Mus musculus: one gene and its partners. The protein of the gene in region 3 purifies or fractionates together with the protein of the main gene of each other region. This does not show direct contact. Links are inferred from orthologs where the notes say so. Each region holds a gene or a part of one and is shown on either strand. Other genes may lie near its edges. The genes, in order: Ssrp1, Ddx5, Srpk1, Rnps1 and Drosha.

What was found.
Region 1: the proteins of Srpk1 (region 3) and Ssrp1 fractionate together in Homo sapiens (co-fractionation; 3 studies listed by BioGRID and IntAct, with this or other methods). This does not show direct contact. The link is inferred for Mus musculus from reciprocal best matches to the Homo sapiens genes SRPK1 and SSRP1.
Region 2: the proteins of Srpk1 (region 3) and Ddx5 purify together in Homo sapiens (affinity purification with mass spectrometry; 3 studies listed by BioGRID and IntAct, with this or other methods). This does not show direct contact. The link is inferred for Mus musculus from reciprocal best matches to the Homo sapiens genes SRPK1 and DDX5.
Region 4: the proteins of Srpk1 (region 3) and Rnps1 purify together in Homo sapiens (co-immunoprecipitation; 5 studies listed by BioGRID and IntAct, counting the BioPlex papers as one, with this or other methods). This does not show direct contact. The link is inferred for Mus musculus from reciprocal best matches to the Homo sapiens genes SRPK1 and RNPS1.
Region 5: the proteins of Srpk1 (region 3) and Drosha purify together in Homo sapiens (affinity purification with mass spectrometry; 3 studies listed by BioGRID and IntAct, counting the BioPlex papers as one, with this or other methods). This does not show direct contact. The link is inferred for Mus musculus from reciprocal best matches to the Homo sapiens genes SRPK1 and DROSHA.

What each region holds. Positions count from the first base shown.
Region 1 is NC_000068.7:85,035,632-85,039,943, reverse strand, and holds the start of Ssrp1 (FACT complex subunit SSRP1), read right to left. Parts: upstream 2,825-4,312; 5' UTR 2,616-2,824; intron 2,494-2,615; exon of another isoform or gene 2,414-2,493; intron 2,169-2,413; exon of another isoform or gene 2,151-2,168; 5' UTR 2,029-2,150; coding exon 1,975-2,028; intron 1,592-1,974; coding exon 1,406-1,591; intron 71-1,405; coding exon 1-70. UniProt on the Homo sapiens protein: Component of the FACT complex, a general chromatin factor that acts to reorganize nucleosomes. The FACT complex is involved in multiple processes that require DNA as a template such as mRNA elongation, DNA replication and DNA repair.
Region 2 is NC_000077.6:106,785,499-106,789,870, forward strand, and holds the start of Ddx5 (probable ATP-dependent RNA helicase DDX5), read right to left. Parts: upstream 2,997-4,372; 5' UTR 2,819-2,996; coding exon 2,775-2,818; intron 1,577-2,774; coding exon 1,411-1,576; intron 1,047-1,410; coding exon 950-1,046; intron 862-949; coding exon 728-861; intron 635-727; coding exon 569-634; intron 39-568; coding exon 1-38. Other genes in the region: Cep95 (centrosomal protein of 95 kDa), read left to right, coding at 3,861-3,879. UniProt on the Homo sapiens protein: Involved in the alternative regulation of pre-mRNA splicing; its RNA helicase activity is necessary for increasing tau exon 10 inclusion and occurs in a RBM4-dependent manner. Binds to the tau pre-mRNA in the stem-loop region downstream of exon 10.
Region 3 is NC_000083.6:28,601,947-28,605,692, forward strand, and holds part of Srpk1 (SRSF protein kinase 1), read right to left. Parts: intron 3,441-3,746; coding exon 3,353-3,440; intron 1,599-3,352; coding exon 1,492-1,598; intron 908-1,491; coding exon 742-907; intron 1-741. UniProt on the Homo sapiens protein: Serine/arginine-rich protein-specific kinase which specifically phosphorylates its substrates at serine residues located in regions rich in arginine/serine dipeptides, known as RS domains and is involved in the phosphorylation of SR splicing factors and the regulation of splicing.
Region 4 is NC_000083.6:24,413,117-24,417,543, forward strand, and holds the start of Rnps1 (RNA-binding protein with serine-rich domain 1), read left to right. Parts: upstream 1-1,558; 5' UTR 1,559-1,616; coding exon of another isoform or gene 1,617-1,618; intron 1,619-1,924; 5' UTR 1,925-2,046; exon of another isoform or gene 2,047-2,389; intron 2,390-4,427. UniProt on the Homo sapiens protein: Part of pre- and post-splicing multiprotein mRNP complexes. Auxiliary component of the splicing-dependent multiprotein exon junction complex (EJC) deposited at splice junction on mRNAs.
Region 5 is NC_000081.6:12,831,261-12,835,006, reverse strand, and holds part of Drosha (ribonuclease 3), read right to left. Parts: intron 1,179-3,746; coding exon 345-1,178; intron 1-344. UniProt on the Homo sapiens protein: Ribonuclease III double-stranded (ds) RNA-specific endoribonuclease that is involved in the initial step of microRNA (miRNA) biogenesis.

The DNA of each region.
Region 1 (4,312 bases), on a different chromosome or scaffold from region 3:
CACACAGATCCTTCTCCATTAGCTCAAGGCGATAGTGAGTTTTGAAGAAGTCAGAGAGTTTCTCAAACTCCTGTAAATCAAACGGAGAAAATGCAGATCCAGTTAAACCTCTGGGTCTCAACACAACTAACAGGTCCTGAGAGTCTCTAGCTCAGGTCACCAATGTATCTTCCTCAGGAACTTCAGCTAACTGAGTATACCAACTCCAAAACTGTTTCAAAACAATTTCCCTTTGTTAGTGGAGACTGTTTCTAGAACCCAGATGCCTTCTGCCCTACTCTTCAAGGATGTCCTTCTTCCAAGCCTCTTTCCTTCCCTTAACCTTTGTGCTTAAAACCTTTTAAGTGCTAGAGACCTGATGGCCCAGCAGTTAAGAGTACTTGTTCTTGCCAGAAGACCTTGGAGTCCTTCTCAGCGCCCCACAGTGGTTCACACCTGTCTGTAACTCTAGTTCCAGCTGATCCAATGCCCTCCTCTGAGCTTTGTGGGCACCGGGCATGCACATGGTGCACAAGCTAGCAAAGCCTCATACAGATAAAATAAATACTTTTTAACGAATGAAAATTATTTTTTAAGACTTATTTATGCCAGACAGTGGTGGCACACACCTTTAATCCCAGCACTTGGAAGGCAGAGGCAGGTGGATTTCTGAGTTTGAGGCCAGCCTGGTCTACAGAGTGAGTTCCAGGACAGCCAGAGCTACACAGAGAAACCCTGTCAAAAATAAATAAATAAATAAATAAATAAAATTATTTATTTTATATATGAGTACGCTGAAGCTGTCTTCAGACACACCAGAAGAGGGCATCAGATCCCATTACAGATGGTTGTGAACCACCATGTGGTTGCTGGGAATTGAACTCATGATCTCTGGAAGAGCAGTCAGTGCTCTTAACCACTGAGCCATCTCTCCAGACCCTGAAAATATTTTTTAACAATAACCACAAAAACTTTTTTTCTGGGCCTCTGGCTAAGAGTAGTAAAGAAACTTAAATTCCCAGATACATGCATCACCTGAGTTTCTAAACTTTGTGTAGGTGATCTTTTGATGAAAGTGAATATTAAAACCAAGTAACTCAAAAGCAGCTCAAAATGGAAAAGCAAAATCCTAGAGCACCAAGCTAAGATGCTGAGCCAGGACAGAGGGAGCAAGTGGAAACCATGGTATAAGTTAAGATGGTAGAAAACCTCCTGGAGTCCAGGTACACGACACGTGTACTGAATACACAACACTGTTTTTTTTGTTTGTTTGTTTTGTTCAATAGTCTCCAACAGCCTTGCTTCGAGGAACCCAAATGAGCAGTAACATGATTATCAGAGAAACGCCAACTGTCTCTAGAAGATTAAAAATAAAAAAAGACAAGGCAGTTACAAAGAAAGTGGGTCACAGAACAAGATCGCTCACCGATTCGCGGAAGCCATCGTACTTGTAGACATGCCCATTCTTTGTGAGCAGTTTAAGCCCATGGCCTAATGCTACCCGACGCCAGATGCCTTCTGTCAACTCCCCAGCCTGGATGTTGTCCACTTTGCCCGTCTTGCTGTTCTTAAAGATGATACCCTGACGGCTCAATCGAAGCCTCCCATCATTCTGCCCAAAATACAGACCCAAAATCAGAACAGGGTAGTGTGTAGTGGATCCTTTCTACCCCTTACCCATGGGATGCAGGATGGCCAGAGTATCAATTGAAAAGCGGTCGTGGTGAAATCAAGTTAAAAGACACAACAGACATTAAGTCTAGACTGCAAGCTTGGCTCTGGCATCAGAAACCCTGTAAGGGCCCCAGTTTCCTGGTTTTCTAATACAACTCAACAAACTCAACATCTTGCAACTCTTTGAGACTTTGCTCACGTTTTCGCTTGGGGGACACACTGATACACTGTTTCCAAAAAAGTAGTCAGAGTTAAGCTTTTCGTTCATAGATTCGAACTCTTTCCCCCTCTCTGCCTTTCTTTTGCCCAAGCCATTCTCACCATGGACCCTTTCACCTCCTGGAAGATGTCGTTGAACTCCAATGTCTCTGCCATGTTCACCTGCCCGTGGTGGCCTGAGCACACAGCCCTAGGCTGCACCAGAGAAAACGAACCCTTCTCTGGATGCTGTGCCCCAATTCCTGGTTAGTTGTGTAGATGTCCAGCAGGGTGGGAATCTGAATTCGGGAAGGAGACTGATAAGCAAGAAACAACGCCACCTTACTCCGCTCAGCCATGTACCTGGTATGTCTCAAGTTCTTTGCTGCCTGGGGATCTTACTGACCCGTTCTGCAGGGCTCCTGAGGCCAAGGCCCAGGACCCTAGGTGCAGAACCAGGCCTATAGTGGCGCTTACACCCCAACCCGACACCCTCTCGGTACGTTCCACGGACAGGCACGGCAACAATCGGCGGAACCTGAGACCCGCTCAGAGAGCGCACCTCAACTCCGCTCAGAGGGTAGTGTCCTGATCGCAGAGACCCCACCACCCCGGGGCCCCGCGTGAATCTACGTTTCTCCCCCTTCTTTTAAAATGGATTCGCCCATTGCCCGCGAATTTGAACGCGGATCGATCCATTCCGATCGTCCCGCGGGGGAGCGGGGCCCATGCACACCAGGGGCCCAGGGATCGCGACCACCCACCTCTAAGAGCTGCAGCCTCGCGACGGCACAGTGAGGGCGGTGGGCGCAGGGGGACGCAGGGGAGGGGGTAGGGATGCGGGGGAAGGGATGCCGGGGAAGCTTTTCCCGCGTGCGCAGCCCCGCGTCCCGCCACCGGAAGTCGCGCACGGACCATAGAGAGGAAGACTTGGCTAGAACGGCATCATCCGGGCCGACCAACGGGTACATTCGCCTAGAGCGTCGGCACTCCCCCTGGTCGGCTAAAGCGAGAGGCTTGCTATGGAATCCCACGCGGCTGAATTCTTGACTAGAAAACGGGAACACTCTTTAGAAAGTTACAAGCTGCTCTTCAAAGACTAGATTCCGAAGGGAAATTATGCGGTTTTATTAGGTGTTCAGGTTTGTATGTTTGTTGGAATCATGCACGCCCCTCCCTCCTGTGAAATAATCTGGGAAGGAGTCTGTTGAACAAGAAAAATACAGAGGTGTAGCCCCACTAGCTGCAAAGGAGATGCGGGTGTCGGCGATTGTGCTTGCTTTCCAGCTGTACCCTGGCAAGTAGATCAGATCCTTTCTGCAGTGAGTTCACCTACCCCCAACACTATCCTGTCCATATCCCTAATTTGTGGGTTCTCAGGAAGAGCCTAGCAGATGGCTGCATTAAATTCAAGTGGTGGTGTCGGATTTACCTTTGAGCTAGAACTTACTTGAAATCACATCAGCCTACGTTGGCAGAAGCCCGGATGGCCTCACATAGCACCGGAGTGCATCTTGCAAAATCTGAAGCCAGGTCTGACAGAGATGCTTGAGTTTATCTCATTTTACAGATGAGAAAAATGAGACCACAAAAGATTTGCGACTGGGTGTCAGTCCATTACCATCAAAACTGGAACCTAGAACACAGACTCTTTAACATCAGCCTTTTATAATCATGAGGGTTCAGGGTTTAGAGTGATTGCTAGCATATGTCCTACACAAAGACAGGATAAGCCCACAGTTTCCCTGAAATATCACTGCACTGACTTGCTAACTCAGTCCTGGGATATGATATAGATAAAAATGTGTTTTGTCATTCGGTGCTTGTGGCTTTAACCACTATCATTGCTAGCACTATTTAGCTAAGTCAAACTGGGCTTAAGACATAATGAAAACCTATTAATGCAGCACGTTTCTAGGATCTGACAAAACTGTTGAAGATCGTTAAAATAGCCCAGCCTCTTAGGAGCACATACCCTAACAAAAGATTTTAATAACTTCGGGGTTTAAAAAGAGAGGGAGTTCAGTAATTTCTGTGCAACTTGAAGAGTTGCAACCAACTAGAGTTAGAAATAAGCGACTTTCCGCTTTGTAGTATTACAAATCTGTAATCACAACACTCAAAGACTGGGGCAGGAGGATTGTGAATTTGAAACATGGCAACATAACAAGTTAGACAACATAATGAGATGCTGGAGGGCAGAGAGGAGGAGATGGTAAGAAATGCGTGTCTTCCTCCCAGGAGACACAGAACTGTCAAGAACCCTTTCTCCCTATTTGTGCTATTAGATAGAAATCGACAGACACTCAAGAGTGGAGTTCTTGGCTCAGGCAGATGAGCTAACTCAAGAGTGGGCAGTTACAAGGGGCTTTGGAGAATACAAAGCAGCTGGTGAGCTGGGATAGAGATGCCGCGTAAGAGAACAGAATAGAAACAGTAGACAGAGTGCAGATGAAACATA
Region 2 (4,372 bases), on a different chromosome or scaffold from region 3:
TGCTGTGCCAGTTCTCGAGTTGGTGCCAGCACCAAGCACTAAGTTTGAAAAACAAAAAAAAGTGTTTAGTATAAAACAGTTTACTAAGACCCTATGTCTTCGTGTGTTGGGAATTAGAATTCAGGTGGTCATAAGACTTTTTTTTGAGACAGTGTCTCCTGAATTCTCCAGTTTCTACCTCCCAGGCACTATTCTCAGGATAAAATTTTTGTGTGTGGAAGCACATGGAGAAACCAGAAGGCAACTTTTGCAAGTTGGTCTCTCCTTGTGGTAGTTGATCTTGATCAGGCTCATGACAAGTATCTATAATTGGCTGATCCAACTAACTGTCTTTGGATACTAATTTTTTCCCCCCGAGATAGGGTTTCTTTGTGTAGCTCTGGCTGTCCTGGAACTCAGAAATCCACCTGCCTCTGCCTCCCCAGTGCTGTGATTAAAGGTGTGTGCCACCACGCCTGGGCTGGATACTAATTTTAAGTGGCTAGTTTATACTGGCAACCCTATATTCCCTATATGAAAGTCAAAGGAGTTTTAGCAAATATGGTGGGAAACTTAAGATAATACTTACAATAGGCCCATCACCTCTCTCTAGGAATGGCTGGTGGTTTATGTGTACAATGGCAGGCAGCAAATACTATTGAAGAGTAAAAATAATAGAAATTGGATTAAAATAGTTATATATCTAAGGTCACCTCTGCCACAATTTATCAAGTTTTCCTAGACTTACAGATAATGTTTTCCCAGATCCAGTCTGAGCTACTCCAACCATATCCAATCCACTGAGAGCAACTGGCCAGCCCTGAGCTTGAATAGCAGTGGGTTCAGTAAAGTTCTGCCTTGCAATCACATCCATGACATTCGCTGCAACCAACAATACCATTTTAAAAACAAATTTATAAGCAAGGGGGGGGGGGGAAATGAAAGGATAAAGATGAAAGTTAGTCCTTACCAGGAAAGTTTGCTTCATAAAAATTCAGAACAGGTTTTGGACAGTTGTGACCTCTAACTGTAATTTCCTTGCTTCTTCTGTATGTATCTACCTCTTGCTGAAAAACAAATTATCTCAGCCTCAGACTTCTGCCATGCTCCCTATAGCTCAATAAACTTTTAAACATACTTATTTCTAAAAATCTGGACCCATAAATAAGAACTCTACTTGGCAACAAAAATTAATAATTAATTTATAATACTTATTTAAATGAAAATTGAGTCTCTATGAAGCCCAATAGACTGCTAAACCTGTTTCCCCAGTGACAGGATTAAAATAGGGCACCATATATCACAAGAAAAATTCAATGGAAGTGCACCACAAGCAACTCTCCATTTGCAAGGCACCTATTACATTTCCATCTAATTGACTAGAAGCAGTTACTGAGTTACAGCATGAAGAAGCCACATTTATAAACTCACTGCGGTGCGCCTTGCCAAATCAGGGTGTTCTTGATAAAAATTCTTCTCAAATTTGGGCAGCTCATCAAGATTCCACTTCTTTTTAACTAGTTTCTCCCCAGGATTTCCAAACTTCTTTCCAGAGAGGGGTCCTGTTCTACTCCCTCCAAATCGAGGTGCACCAAACCTACACACACACAAAACAAAAGTTGGGCACATTGTGAAAGATACTGCATGAACAGGTTTGCCCTCACATTTCATCTGCTGCCTTTTGATAGAGCCAAAGTGTGCTTCTGGAATCCTTCCCAACTGTCATTCTAAGGACAGCCACAACTGGCAGCGTTTCTTTTCTGAAGTCCCAAGCACACTCTACTGAGGCCAAATAAACATCGTGGGTTTATCAGGTGGCAAACAGCCCAAACATCTGACCAGATTACAAGGACAAGAGTTAGAGCCTCCATCTTCTCTCCCCACAGAGCTTAGGCATTAGCGTCTAGGAGCTGGGCAAGAAGGGAGGAGCTTAGGAAGGTTATTTTTGCCCGTTTTCATCAAAGGACCTAATCTTAAAGAAATAACGGGGCCGCAAAGGCAATGTGAGCAGCTGAACGAGGCTAGCACGGCGGACAGGGTAGAAAGGGGAACAGGCGCCAGCGAGCCGAGTCTAGGGAAACGCCGCGAACGGCTGCAAACCAAGGTAACAAAATTATATAACGCGAGGGAGAAAAAGAGGAGGAGCCGAAAGCAACCGGGGGAGGAGTCCCGGCCCGGGCGGCGTTCCCGCTGGGGCGGCGCTTCCTTCTTTGTCTCGCATTTCTCTCTGCGCCACATTTTCTCGCCGCTGCCATTTTGAGCTCCTCCGCCGGGCGGGGTAACAAAGGCGCCGCCGCCATGTCCGAGGCCGGCATTTTGTGGCTGCGGCTCCGCCACATGGCCGAATCCGCCGGCGTAGGCCACCCAACGGGGCACAGGGGACCTCGAAAGCGCCCCTTCTTTCCCCCGGGGATACCGGAAGGGGGGGCCCCCCTCAAAAAACAACCCAACGAAAGATTGCGCAAACGACGCCGGGAACCGCCTCAAAGGCGCGGCGCTTCCCGACCGAAAACACTCCTCCGGGTTTCCCTCAACAGCCGCGAGGTCGCCGGGCCGCCCCGGGTCCCGGCCCACCCTCCCGGACCAAAAAAAAAAAAAAAAAAAAAAAAAAAAAGGTTGAACGCCATTACCCGAAGCGTAGCCTTTAACGGCTTTTAACCGGACGTGTGACAAAAGCCAGGCCTCCTTTCAGGAAGGGAAAAAAAAAAATCTAAAGGTCGGTTGGGAAGGCGAGCCTTCGGCCGCGCCGCTCTCCCATCCCCCACCCGGCCTGACAGGTCTCTTGTCACACTCACCCTCGATCCCGGCCGCGGTCTCGGTCACTAGAATAACTCGACATGGCGTCAATGGTGGCGGTGTGCGGGCGGAACCCAGTGAAAGTAGAATCCTGCGGCGACGAGTCGCGGAGAGAAGGCCTCGGCGACGGCGAAGCCTCTGCGGGGGCGTCACCAGCGGAGGGGCCGGTGGTGTCGAGGGCCGGAGCTGCGAGGGCAAGGACCGATGGAAATGAATGAGGTGCCGGCTGCGTCCCGGCAGCCGCTTTTATAGTCTGGACCGCCTCCTCGCCGCAAAGCACGCTGGGAGCCGCTCTATGACCTAATCACCCCGCCCCCCTGGCTCGGAGGCCCTCAACGCCCGCCCGCCCGGGTTCCGGAATCCGCCATGTTCTCGCCCCTCCCCCTCCGCGGGCGGGCGCTCCCTCCCCGGCGCCCGTTTATTACTCGCTTCACGACTGGGTGACACCACTAGAATGCCTCGCCCCGACGCCCTTTTGGCGACACCGCCGTCTCTCGTCTCGCTACACCTCAGACAAGCTGCTTCCCCGTGGCCAGACGGTCCTTAAAATGGCCAGCGCCAGCCATTCCACCGACTCTACTTGAAGATGTTTACGTCTCCACAGACTCCCCCCACGCCCATAACCGAAGGAGACCAGGGAGGCGGAGCTTGGCCTCATCACGTGATCGGACCCAGGGCAAGGCGGATCGCACTACTTCCTCGCTTGGTCTCTCGGCGGAGGAACACCAAACCACCAACTCACCGGAAGCGCGGCTCCAACGCCCCCGGGGAGATCGGCCGGGCTGCTGGGTGACCTGGCTGCCCTGCCCGCCGATCTGAGAACCCGTAAGCGGGATCTTGACCGCGGGGAATGGTATCTGGAGCCCGCAAACTGCCGCCTCAGCGCGTGCTGCGAGGAAGTGCTCCTCTGCTGTCCAATCAGCGTCGAGAAGCCGTTTTAACGTCCCTCCCTCTTCCACCCCTCCTTCCCCGCTCGCTAGTGTCTGCCCCCTCCTCCTCCCGTCGGCTCGACCGAGTTCGACCCTTCTGGGACACCGTCGCCCGCGCTCTCGTCTTGGAGTCCGGCCGCGACCTCTCCTGGCAGTATGGCCAGCTCAGAGGCTGGTGAGTCTCGGCCTGGAGCCCTGGTGGTTTTGTACTGCAGCATTCCGCGGACCTTGGGCTGAATCTGAACCGCGTCTGCGCCGCTGCGGAGGCTCGGGACTGTCGGACACTAGTTGCAGTCGCGCGCGCGGTGGGGGGGGGGGTTCTATGAATTTAGGGTCTCAGCCTCGAAACCTCTTGCGGTTTCCAGACGTGGAACTGAGACTTGGGATGAGATAGGAACTCTTTGTCGAGCCTGGGACACCCGCATCCTGTCTATATAGAGCAGTCAAGATCCTTTCTTGGATCCGAATTTTTGTGGGGTATCTATCCACAGACTGTCTCTCTTTCCCCTTGCTTTGTTTGGACTAAGGCAGAACTTATCTTTATATTGATTTTTTTTTCCTTTTTGAGGCATAGCACTCATAAGTTCTTTTGATGCCCTCTAGAGTAACTGGCATTTTCTAGTACTGCCTTTGAAAAGCCAATTGATTCGGTTGTCTAGGACGCTTTC
Region 3 (3,746 bases):
GCACTGCCGAGGGAAAGCAGCACAGCAGCTGTCAGAACCACTGAGCATAGCGCCACTTGCTTCGCCCGGCTGCACCACGGGAGTCCAACTCCCACAGTTCCTAACTGGGCCAAGGTCTCCTCGATAAACACAATCCAGCAGCACTTGCTACTTGACAGTGTCAGTAGGTGAGCATGTGTGAGCACCAAGAGGCAAACCACAGCCAGCCACCCAGGGAGCACCCAGTGTCATACAGCTACAATCTAGGCCCCGGGGAGCCTAAGACAGAAAGATCAGGCATTCAAATTCAGCCTGGCCTACATACTGTATAAGAAGACATCCTAAAAAATGAAAATGACAGTGGTCAGAAGCCTGGTTTAGCAGGCAAAGACAGATGCTGCCTCAGTACCTTGGTCTGACCCCCAGGAACCACGTGGCAGAGAAAACTAACTCCTGAAAGCTGTCCTAACACCCACATATACTGAGCTACATGCCCCTACAAAGGAGTCAATCAAATGGAAAAGCCCATCAAATAAAAACACTCTAAAACAATAATGTAAGTCAGCTATTTTACTATATCGAATACTTTTTATCTAAAAAAATAACAACTGTTCATTTTCTTCCCATTTGGAAGAAATACCAGTCTCTTTAATGTTGTTACTATCTCTAAAATAATCAGTGAGTACAATTCTGCTGTTTTGTGAACAAATGAAAACAGAAATTCCTCCTGAGGGTCTGACTCAAGCAAAGCACCCCATGTACCTGCAGACCCCGATGGTGGGGGAGCTCCTGAGCGCTGCCACTCTGTGGCCTCTGCAGCCAGCCTTCGAATGTACTGCTCATTCACAGACAACAAGATGTTCTCTGGTTTGATGTCCGTGTGGATGATCCGGCACTTGGTGTGTAAGTAATCCAGGCCCTGTAGCACCTAAGTGAGAATAAAGCAGGAGCTTCAGTAACACACGGTCCAAGCCTGCTGGGAAAGGAAGAGTCACAACGCACAGAGAGAGGGTTCGCAGGTGCAGCTGGCCCAGCAGCGAAGAGCATTGGGTTCTTCTTCCAGAAGACCCAGGCTCAATTCCCAGCAACCATATGACAGCTCACAAGCACCTTAAACTCCAGCTTAAGGGAATGCTCATCTGGACTCTGCCTATGCATGACGTAGACATGGAGGCAAACACCACACAGACATAAGAAAAAAACAAACTAAAACAAAAGCCCACAATGCCAAGTTTTCTTGTCTCCACACTCGCATGCAGACAATTTCCAAGTGAGTCACTTCCCAGCCCGATCCTCAGTCTGTGTTTTGTCAGGAGAAAACACCGGAGGTTTTTAAATAAAGATACCATCAGCCAGGTGTAGTGGTGAAACCCTCTAATCCCAGCACCCAGGAGGCAGAAGCAAACTTAAGTTCTGGGGCAGCGTGGTCTACATAACATAGTTAGATACTTCTCAAAGAGGCAGGCAATAGAGGGGAGGGGTATCCCACATAGCAATAACCAACATACATACTTGCTGAATAATTTTTTTGACACAAGGCAGCGGAAGCCCCTGATAGTTGGACTTGATGATCCACTTGAGTAGATGATGCCCCAAAACCTCAAACACCATGCAGATATCTAGGAGTTCATTAAGGAAAAAAAAAAAAAAAAAAAAAAAAGAGGCCCAAGGAAGCAGGTAGACTCCAGCATCAACAGTCTTTTCAGTCACAGAACTACTTTAAAAAAGTTGGTTTAGGGGGCTGGTGAGATGGCTCAGTGGGTAAGAGCACCCGACTGCTCTTCCAAAGGTCCGAAGTTCAAATCCCAGCAACCACATGGCGGCTCACAACCACCCATAATGAGATCTGGTGCCCTCTTCTGGTGCGTCTGAAGACAGCTACAGTGTACTTACATATAATAAATAAATAAATAAATAAATAAATCTTTAAAAAAAAAAAAGAAAAGAAAATTTAAAAAAAAAAAAAAAGTTGGTTTAGGAGGAGAAAACACACTCAGAAGGTGGAAGGAAAGATCAGTCTAGTCGTCCCCTCAGAGTCAGGTTCCCCTCAGAATATCGGGCTTGTGTGTGTGTGTAACATGACCACTCACACAGGCTCAACATGAAGAACAAAGAAGATGCAAAACTTAACTGAAAGGTGAAGGTGGCAAGCTCTCTGCCTGTGGTAGAGTGGAACATACCTAGTGTTTGCGAGGGAAGTACCTCGGCACTGGACTAACCCTCCCTGAGAATTTAAAAACAGATCCCTGACTCGCTTTATACAGACACTCCATGCATCGATCTTAATGCCTGCGTGCTGCCTACCCACGGTCTCTTCATGTGGCCCAGACTGGGTGGAGAAGCACCACCACTCTGCAGGCCATTGGGTTAGCATCCTACTTTAGGGTCAAAGTTAACATAAAGAGTTTGAGGAGAGGCAGCACACGTTTACTAGAGAACACCAAGGCCAAGTAATAAACTGCCACAGTGGGAGAACATGGCGCCTGTGGACTCAGCCTCCGGAGAGACCTGTAGGCGACCTATGAGACCAGTGTCATACAAAGCATGTCACCTTCACAGCGGGCAGCATCTCAGTGATAAGCCTGATGGATCTGCTCACAGGTGCTGATACAGCACGATAAAGAACACACATCCCTCAAGGTACAATAGACAAAACTGACAAACCCGAGAAAGCAACCACAGACCTAAATTAAGGGATCCGACAGGTGGGCTCTTTTTTTTGAGACAGGGTTTCTCTGTGTAGCCCTGGCAGTCTTGGAACTCCCTCTGTAGACCAGGCTGGCCTCGAACTCAGAAATCCGGCTGCCTCTGCCTCCCAAGTGCTGGGATTAAAGGCGTGCGCCATCACTGCCTAGTGGGCTCTTATTTGCCTGATTCAAACAGACAAACTTAAACAGATGATGGCAGGCACTGGGCAACAGGGGCAGGAGTCCCTCAGGAGGAAGGTCTTGAGACTCTAGGTAGACTCTCAGTTGTGAATCTAGGCATCCCAGGTGGAAAAACAACAAGGTACCAAAGGGAAAGCTAGACCACCATGGTGGATATTTGCCGATGTCCCTTTTAAGTATTCACGAGTGCCCACGTACCAGGCACAGAAGCATCAGGAAGGATGGGAAGAGGACAGTAACCAGCTTCTGCTCAAGGGCTGCAACTATGCACTCACGCACGCAAAACCAGAGAGAAAGCCAGGCGGGGTGACGCACGCCTTTAATCCCAGCAGTAGGGAGGCAGAGGCAGCAGACGTCTGAGTTTTGAGGCCAGCCTGGTCTACAGAGTGAGTTCCAGGACAGCCAGGGCTACACAGAGAAACCCTGTCTCGAGAAAACAAAACAAAACAAACAGCAGCAACAACAAAAAAGCTCTTAAAGGATACGTGTTCCATTAACGCCTGATATTTTAAAGTCATCTAGTAGTTGAACAACCATTTCTCCATTTGGATCATTCGGGTCTGAGTTGCGAACCTGTGTTGGGAGGAAGCCATATTTTAGCACAAGTGAAGTAGTACAGTCAGTCCTCAAGTAAACAGGGAGGAGCAGGCTGTCTGAGCCTCTTTCCCACACTGCTGTTACTACAACCCACCATAAAAAATGAAAAGAAAGGCTTTGGGTAAGATAAACTTGTGTTGAGGTATATTTATGACTCCTAATAGCAGCAAAATTAGTCATGAAGTAGAAACAAAAATAACTGCATTGTTGGGGAGGGTCAGCACACCATAAGGAACTGCGTTCAAGGACCGCTGTGTTAGGAAAGCTGAGAACTACTGCTCT
Region 4 (4,427 bases), about 4.2 Mb from region 3:
ACCTTTTTGCTGCCATCTTTCACTGACATCAGGGCCCAGCTTCTTCAGCCTTCCAACTAGTGCTGAAGACCAGGAACCCGCCATGATTTCAGCACCAGATTAAGACTACAAGGACATGTAGTTTCTTAGAAAGCTACTGGCTCTCAGCCTTTCTAGTGTGAATAACCCAGACTGGATGATGTAAGTGAGGGTCATCGTTTATTTGTTCCGTTCCACCAGAGAACAGCTAGCATCCACTTACCACTCATGTCTGACCACAGCAGACACAACAGCAATGCAAGAAAATCAGCTTATCCCTAATATCCTATACATTAAATAATCTTAAATCCAACAAGGGTACCAGACCAAACTGTCTAGATCTGCTAACCCCACCCCAAAAAATGAATACCTCAGGAAAGCAGACTTCAGAAGCAGGCTCCTCTTCCTGACTGTCCCACAGGACACACCCAGCTCCTTGGACCGAGATAATCTCTTCTCTCCATCTCTCCGGGATCACCAAAGTGCACATTGGCCACTTTCCTATCTTTCACAGCAATATGTAATCCAAATCTAAGTCACCTTTGTACCTTCCTCCTGAAGCTCACCTTAGCTCTGTTCCTCTTTCTTCGTTCCTGCCTCAAATCTACTTAGATAACCGCGGGGATTGTGTGCATATCCCTTTCTTCCGCAAATAACGGAGCAAGAATGTGCTAGGCAAACCGGGCGGTGGCGCTCGTCTTTAATCCCAGCAGTTGGGAGGCAGAGGCAGGCAGATTTCTGAGTTCTAGGCCAGCCTAGCCTGGTCTACAGAGTGAGTTCCAGGACAGCCAGGGCTACAAAACAAACAAACAAACAAACAAAAGAATGTGTTGGCAAAGTCGGGAGGCGGGGCACTACGGCGGGTGCTACTCTTTAGCCTCGTGCAGAGACCAGATCCTCTATGTCCTTGCTAAGAAGTTACTGACGTAACCCCGGTATAGACTAGCGTGCCTCTTCTTCTCCCAGCGATCCTGAACGCCTTTGCTGTTCCTTCTGCCCCACGCATTCTTGTCAGAAATGTCTCCTGGGAGAAACCTCCTTCAACATTTCCTCAAACTTTTTTCCTTTCTGGCCTCATCGGCCGCCCGCTACACCCAGTCAGCTGTATCCCACCAGCACAGAGACCATATCTATGCAATCACCACTAACTACCAGAGACTTGACCATAGGAACTCACCGTCCGTACCAGCCTGTCCCTTTACTACAATAACGCGGCCTCAGCAGGGTGCCTTAGATCCTAATGACAGCAGAGGCAACCCGAGTAGCTCCATCCACACAGATCCGGTAGGCGCCAAAGAGCACAAACCTCTGGTGCCGGTCAGCCAATCATCGCGCGCTTCAGAATGAGCAAAACAAGTCCAGGAAACTTTAGACCAGTCGGGGAGGGGGGGCGGGGGGGGGGACCGTAGGCGCTACGACGCTCCGCCCACACACAGTTGCTGTCCTTTAGTCCTCCACCGCTAACTTGCATTGGCTGAGTGTGCTTACGTCATCGTCGCGCGACGACGGCTGCGCCTTCCCGCTTCTCACCTCTGACGACAAAGTTGCGCCGGCGTCCTGGTCTGAGAAGAGCGGGAGGAGGTGGCGGCCTTGGGAAGATGTAAGTCGGGGTAGGAATCCGGCTGCATCCGACCTCCGGGGACCTTCTGCCAGGCTTGGCGGGGCGCATCGTGGAGCCGGTTGCGTTCCTCAGTGCGGCAGAGGCCCGCCGGCGAGGAACAGAGCCCGAGGAGAGAGTGTGGTTCAGGTCGGGCGGAGTGGGAGGTGTCGAGGCCGCGGCCCGGAAGTGGTCGAGGCGGTCACCGACGGAAGGGTGATCCCGCACGGTTCGCTCGGCGGCGACCCGCTTTAGCCTGCAGGACTCCAGCAGCTGCGAGCCCTGCCGCTTCTCTTGTTTTCTTGTCAGGCTGGAGACCTAGGCTCGCCACACCGGGCCCGACCTGAGTAGTGAGTGGAGAAAGAGGGTGGGAGGCGAGGTCGATGTCTGTGGCCGGAGCGGACGGTGCAGATTGCGAGCCGGCCTAAAAGGTTGGTTTCCTTTAAAGATCTCTTTCCACGAGTGTCTGTCGGAATCCAGTGTGCAGTTCTCAGTTCTGGGCATTGAGGATCCGTCCTAGGATGGACCGAGCACGGTTACGGAGCTCAGCGGGAGAGGATATGGGAAGGTTATGGTTGATGGTAGAGACGTGGTGGAGGCTTGCTTTCTCTACCTTGTGTTACTTCGTAGGCACTGTGTCTCCGATGTGCTTTTATATGTAGAGAGTGCTTTCAGATTGCCAAGACGCCCTCTGCTCGAGATTTAACCATTTGTTTTCTCCTCTCTCTGACTGTTGGACGCACACCTTTCCGGAGGATGGGAGAGGTGACCAAGGTCCTGAGCTGTTACCTGAGCTTGAGTGAACAGAGACCCTCACCTTTGCTTTCTAGCACTCGACCACACCCAGCAAAGAGTTCGCTTACGCCGCAGTTCATAATTTGTAGACTGCTTAACAATGGGTTCTGCCTGTTTCATAAAGTACATTCCAGCAGGTCGGGGTGCGGGTGCACAAGGGTGATCTCTACCCTTTGTCACTGGTATGAAGCACTTGAATAGTAACCCAAACCCCAAAAGTACATACCAGATTTAAATGACTTAGTATAGAAAACCCACAAGAAATTTAGTAATTTTATGTTGATTATATGTTACAAAGGTAATGTTCATTTTGTTAAAAACTAGTTTTGGGACCCACACACTGCCTTTAATCCCAGCACTCAGATGGCAAGTCAGAGTTTGAGGCTAGCTTGATCAACCTAGGCTAGCCAGGGCTGCCTAGTGAGACCATGTTTCAATAGGGGGGAAAAAGCCTTTAATTTTGGACTGTCAGTACTTGTGAATGGTAGAGGTCTTGTTGAGTATACTGGGCTCAGTGTTACTTCGTGTAGCCTTGCCTGTCCTGGAAGTAGACCAGGACAGACCTTTGAACTCGAGAGCCTCATTTCCCAGTTCTTGTTTCTAAAAAAAATAAGAAAGGTTTCACTAACTTTTGTGACTTGGCTGAAAGGAGATTAAAGGGTGTGCTCATGGTTCACACTCATGGACAGTGCTGCTTTTAGTGATCTCATCCAAAAGTCAGCTGAGCTGTAACACAGTTAACTAAGCAGCCAGAAATCAAACTTACCACTGAGCTTTTAGCTGGGTGCCTTGCCAGATTGATAGATTGATTTAGCCAAGCAAGGTTTAGGGAGCTAATTGTCAGGATTACTTAACTTGGTAGTATGCTTTTGCCTGTTGTGCACAAAGCCCTGGTTTCAGTCTCCAGCTCCATATCGAAAGCCTATAATCCCAGGCGGAGGCAGGAGATTCAAGTCATCCTACATAGAACATTTGAAGCCAGCCTGGGCTAGAGACCTTGTCTTTAATAGAATAAGCCTTTGGTTCCTGTACTCAGGAGACAGGAAGGATGAGTCCCAGCAAGGTGTCATGGTACACAGCTTTAATCCCAGCACTTGGGAAACAAAAGTGGGGGAATCTCTGTGACAGCCAGAGCTACAGGATAGCAAAAAAAAAAAAAAAAATTAAGAATGAGTGCCACAGCTGGACAGTGGTGGCACAGGCCTTTAATCCCAGCACTTGAGAGGCAGAGGCAGGTGGATTTCTTGAAGCCAGCCTGGTCTACAGAGTGGGTTCCAGGACAGCCAGGACTGCCCAGAGAAACCCTGTCTCGAGAAAAAAAAAAAAAAAGACTTGAAGCCTGAAACACAGGCTTGCTTGCTTGCTTACTCCAGACCATGGAAGATAGCTGAAAAGATATAGTCCTGGAAAGAAGCTAGATAGGTAATCATTTGCCATTTCTATTTGTCAAAGTAGTGGAAGGGAACTGTTCTCATGAGCTAGACTTATTCAGCAGCATTTAGAAGGGCCCTGTTTCTGAAAAGATGTATTCTCGCCTTACACTTGAGGAAGGTGAGGAAGAAGAGTTAGGATGTATCCTGAGGCCTTTTTTTGTATTTTGCTCCAAGAGAAGTCCCAGGGAGAATTAGCTGTCTTTAGTTGAGTACTTACTGTTACGTGGCATTATTGCTAAACCCTTAACACTGCCTATAAGATCTCAACCCATTCAGAGGTTTCAACAGTTGTGCCTACCTGACTGCTGACTAGATCTACCAAGTCACATTTTCCCCTTATTTGTTTATGGTTTACCTACCTGACAGTCTTACTTTTTTTCTTGCCTTTTTCTTTTTTTTCTTTTTTTTTCCTCCCAGGCAGGGTTTCTTTATGTCGCTTTGGCTGTCCTGGAATAGCTCTGAATCAGCCTGCCTCTGCCTCCCCTGTGCTGTGGTTGAAGGCTTGCACCGCCGCTCCAGCTTTCGGTTCTGTCTTAGTGCTCTCCTGTGAGGTTTTGCACGTTGTGTTGTGTTGAGTAATGTTT
Region 5 (3,746 bases), on a different chromosome or scaffold from region 3:
GTCCACACAGGTCACTTTGGAATGCTTCCCTAAACCATTCTGTTTTCTTTACAACCAACTTACTTGTCAGTCTTCCTTATAAAAAGCCTAAACTGTGCTTTTTTTTTTTTAATTAAAAATCAAAGTGCATACCAGGCAGTGGTATGGCACGCCTTCAATCCCAGCAGTAGGAAGGCAGAGGTAGAAGAATCAAAGCCAGTCTGGTCAACAGAGTGAGTTCCAGGATAGCATGGGCTACACAGAGAAACCCTGCCTCAAAAGAAAACGGGGTGGGGATGGGGGGTTGTGCACAAGTTTTTGTTGCCCAGCAGACAGCTTTATTAAGGAACTTGGCATGGGCTCACCTGCTCCTTTCATAGCTGCGGTGGCGAGGCGGTGGCGTTCTCCCCCGATCATAGTCTGAGCGGTAGCGGCTCTCAGGTCTTCTCCTTTCAGGGCTGCGGCCGCGCTCCCTGCGCTCCAGGGACCGATGCCTCTCGCCTCGCCCGTGACTGTGATCTCGGTGCCTGTGGTCGTCGTAGTGCTTGAGCCTTTCTGGGGACCGCCTCTCATTCTGAGCCTTTGGGAGTGAGTATGGTGGGAGGTGTCGAAAATGAGGAGTGCTGCTGCTGTTAGCACTGGGTGGGAAAGAGCTGGAGTTGTTCTGGTAACTGTTGAAGCCGGGCGGTGGGAAGCTGTGCGAGTACCCAGGGGGGTACTGGTAATTAACCTGCTGCGGCATGACGGGCGGGGGCGGAGGGTGGGGCATGGAAGGAGGGGGCACCATGAAGGGGAAAGTGCCTTGTCCGGGAGGTGCTCCGGAGGCAGGCGGGTTATTGGGACAAGGCATCGGAGGGGGCATGGGTGGAAAACAGGGAGGCACCGGGAAAGGGTGTCTCATCTGGTGGTTGGGGTAAGGCGGCCTCACTGGGCAGGGAGGGAGAGGCCCTTGGGCAGACGGCGCCGCTGGGGGAGGGTAAGGGACAAAGTCTGGCCGTGGGGGCATAAAGCTGGGGGCCTGAGAGTTCGAGTAGGAGGAAGAGGGGGCGCTCGGAGGCTCATATTGATACTGCGCAGGCGGCTGCTGGGGATGAAGAAGTCGCAGGTTTTGGGGTCTGAAAGCTGGTGCTGAAGGTCTGGCTCCGTGTCCTCCTCGGCCCCGGGGACACCCTCGTCCTGGGTGGTACGACATTCTATGACTTTTTAGAGAAGAGAAAAGGAGAAATCAAAACATGGGCCTCACCAAGACCCTCAGTGTGGAGGGAAGTGATTCCTGCAAGCTGTCTCACACACACACACACACACACACACACACACACACACACACACCTCGCGCGCTCGCGATCTCTCTCTTTCGCACAGCATGCACACACACACACACACATACACCCCTCGCGATCTCTCTTGCACACACCCGTGCGCACGCGGGCGCGCGCGAGCACACTCACACACGCACACGTGCACGCATGCGCAAAACACACATGCGCATGCGCACACATACACTTAATACACGTACATACGCTTCCCCCCCCCCCTCACGCAGGTGCACGCACATACGCACACACGTAGGTACAAGCATAGATTCATGCGCATGCTCACGGACTATAAACGTAAATTTTAAAGTAAAATTTTAAAAACCTCATGAGAACCCAAGTTCGGGCCCCGGAGCACAACACTAATCAAAAAGCCAAACACGGCGGATGTGCTTGCAATCCCAGAGCTGGGAGGGCAGAGGCAGGAGGATTCCTGAGGCTCACTGTCCAGTCATACAGTGAGATCCTGTCTCAAAAATAAGGTGGGTAGTGCCTGAGGAGAAAATTACACAGGCACACACACATCACTATGTACACACTATGCAAACAGGTTTCTTAAATACCTAACTACCCGTACACAATTAATCAGTACCACCAAAATATTCAACCCATATAAAAGAATTTTTTTTCCTAAAATCTTTATAGCCAGCTGTTTCCCGTCTCTTCCACACAGCCCACCACTACAGCCAATCCCTGGACCCTTCTCCTCTCCATTTCCTACCCTTGCCCACATGTCCCTCTAATCTTGCCCAGTGTCTTAATAGCTCATTTGTTAAAACAGCCTATATAGCTCTGACCCACTCTACTTTAGTGGGCACCAGGCAATGCCTCGGACTTAGGAGGAACCAACATTTCATTCCCTGAAGGCCAGGGAGAAAACAGGACTGCTGAACACCACTTAAATGGGCAGGCTGGTGCCCATGTTAATACTTCAATCAGCTTCTGCCAACACATCCCCGGCAACCTCCCGCAGCCAGTTTACTTTCCAGGCCACTACGGATGCTGGGTGCCCTCTCTGGGTGTGATGGTTTGTATATCCTTGGACCAGGGAGTGGCACCATCTGGAGGTGTGGCCTTGTTGGAATAGGTGTGACCTGGTTGGAATGGGTGTGTCACTGTGGGTGTGGGTATAAGATCCTCACCCTAGTTGCCTGGAAGTCAGTCTTTCACTAGCAGCCTTTGGATGAAGACATAGAACTCTCAGCTCCTCCTGCGCCATGCCTGCCTGGATGCTGCCATGTTCCCACCTTGATGATAATGGACTGAACCTCTGAACCTGTAAGCCAGCCCCAATTAAATGTAGTTTTTTATAAGACTTGCTTGGTCCTGGTGTCTGTTCACAGCAGTAAAACCCTAACTAAGACAGAAGTTGGTACCAGGGACTGGGGTATTGCTGTGATGGGCCTGACCATGCTTTTATTTGAAAGAATGTGGATTTTTGGACTTTGGATTTGGAACACAGTGGACTGTTTTAAATGGGGCTTAATGGGTCATCCAAGTAGGAATATGGAAGACTTTGTTGCTGGGAGTGATTTGAACTGTGTTGACCTGGCCCAAGAGATTTCAAAGGAGAAGAATTTCAGTATGTGGCATAAAGACCGTTTTTGTGGTATTTTGGTGAAGAATGTGGCTACTTTTTACCCTTGTCTGAAAAGTCTGCCTGAGGCTAAGGTGAAGAGACTTGGATTAATTGCATTAATTGCATTGACAAAGAAAGTTTCAAAAAGGCCCAGCAGAGACTCTGTTCTCTGGTTAAGTCTCACAAAGAGAAGTTTGAACAAGCATAGCAAGCTTAGAAAGGCAAAATATAAAATATATGGTTCGAGTATTAAAGGAGTACCAGGAAGTGAAATGGAGCAAAATCTTGTGTTCTAGGAGATAAAAGATTAAGGGAGTGGGACCTTGGGGCAAGATTCTACCCAGCTGAATTTAGATCCAGGCATGGTGGTACAAACCTTTAATCCCACAAGACAGGCATGCTGATCTCTGCATTCAAGGTCAATCTACAGAGCAAGAACCAGGATAGCCAAGCTTAGGCAGTGAAGGATTTAGGAAACATAAAGCTAGTGATAATGTAATAGTACAAGGGGATCATGTTCTAGTTCCTGTAAGCAGCAGAACTCGGCGGCTTCAGCCATGTGGCTCGGGCTCTAGAGTTAAGAATGGAAGGAACTACTGGGAAAATTGATGCTGGTTAGCTGGAGCTAAGGAATTAGCAGTGATTAAGAAGAAACCAGCATCACTGAGTTGAAATCTGGGAGTTGTTTTCTGGGAGCACAAAGAAGCTGTGCTCCAGAGATACCCAAGGTTGTACCTCATGCTGCGGCTGGACTTGGTAATGTGTAAGAGTCACTCAGGTGGTATTGCTTGTGAAGGAATGAAGGGATCATGGAGAGAAGCTGAGGCTTAGCACTGTGAGAGGCCAGGGAAGGCCATTGGAGAAGGTGAAGCCTC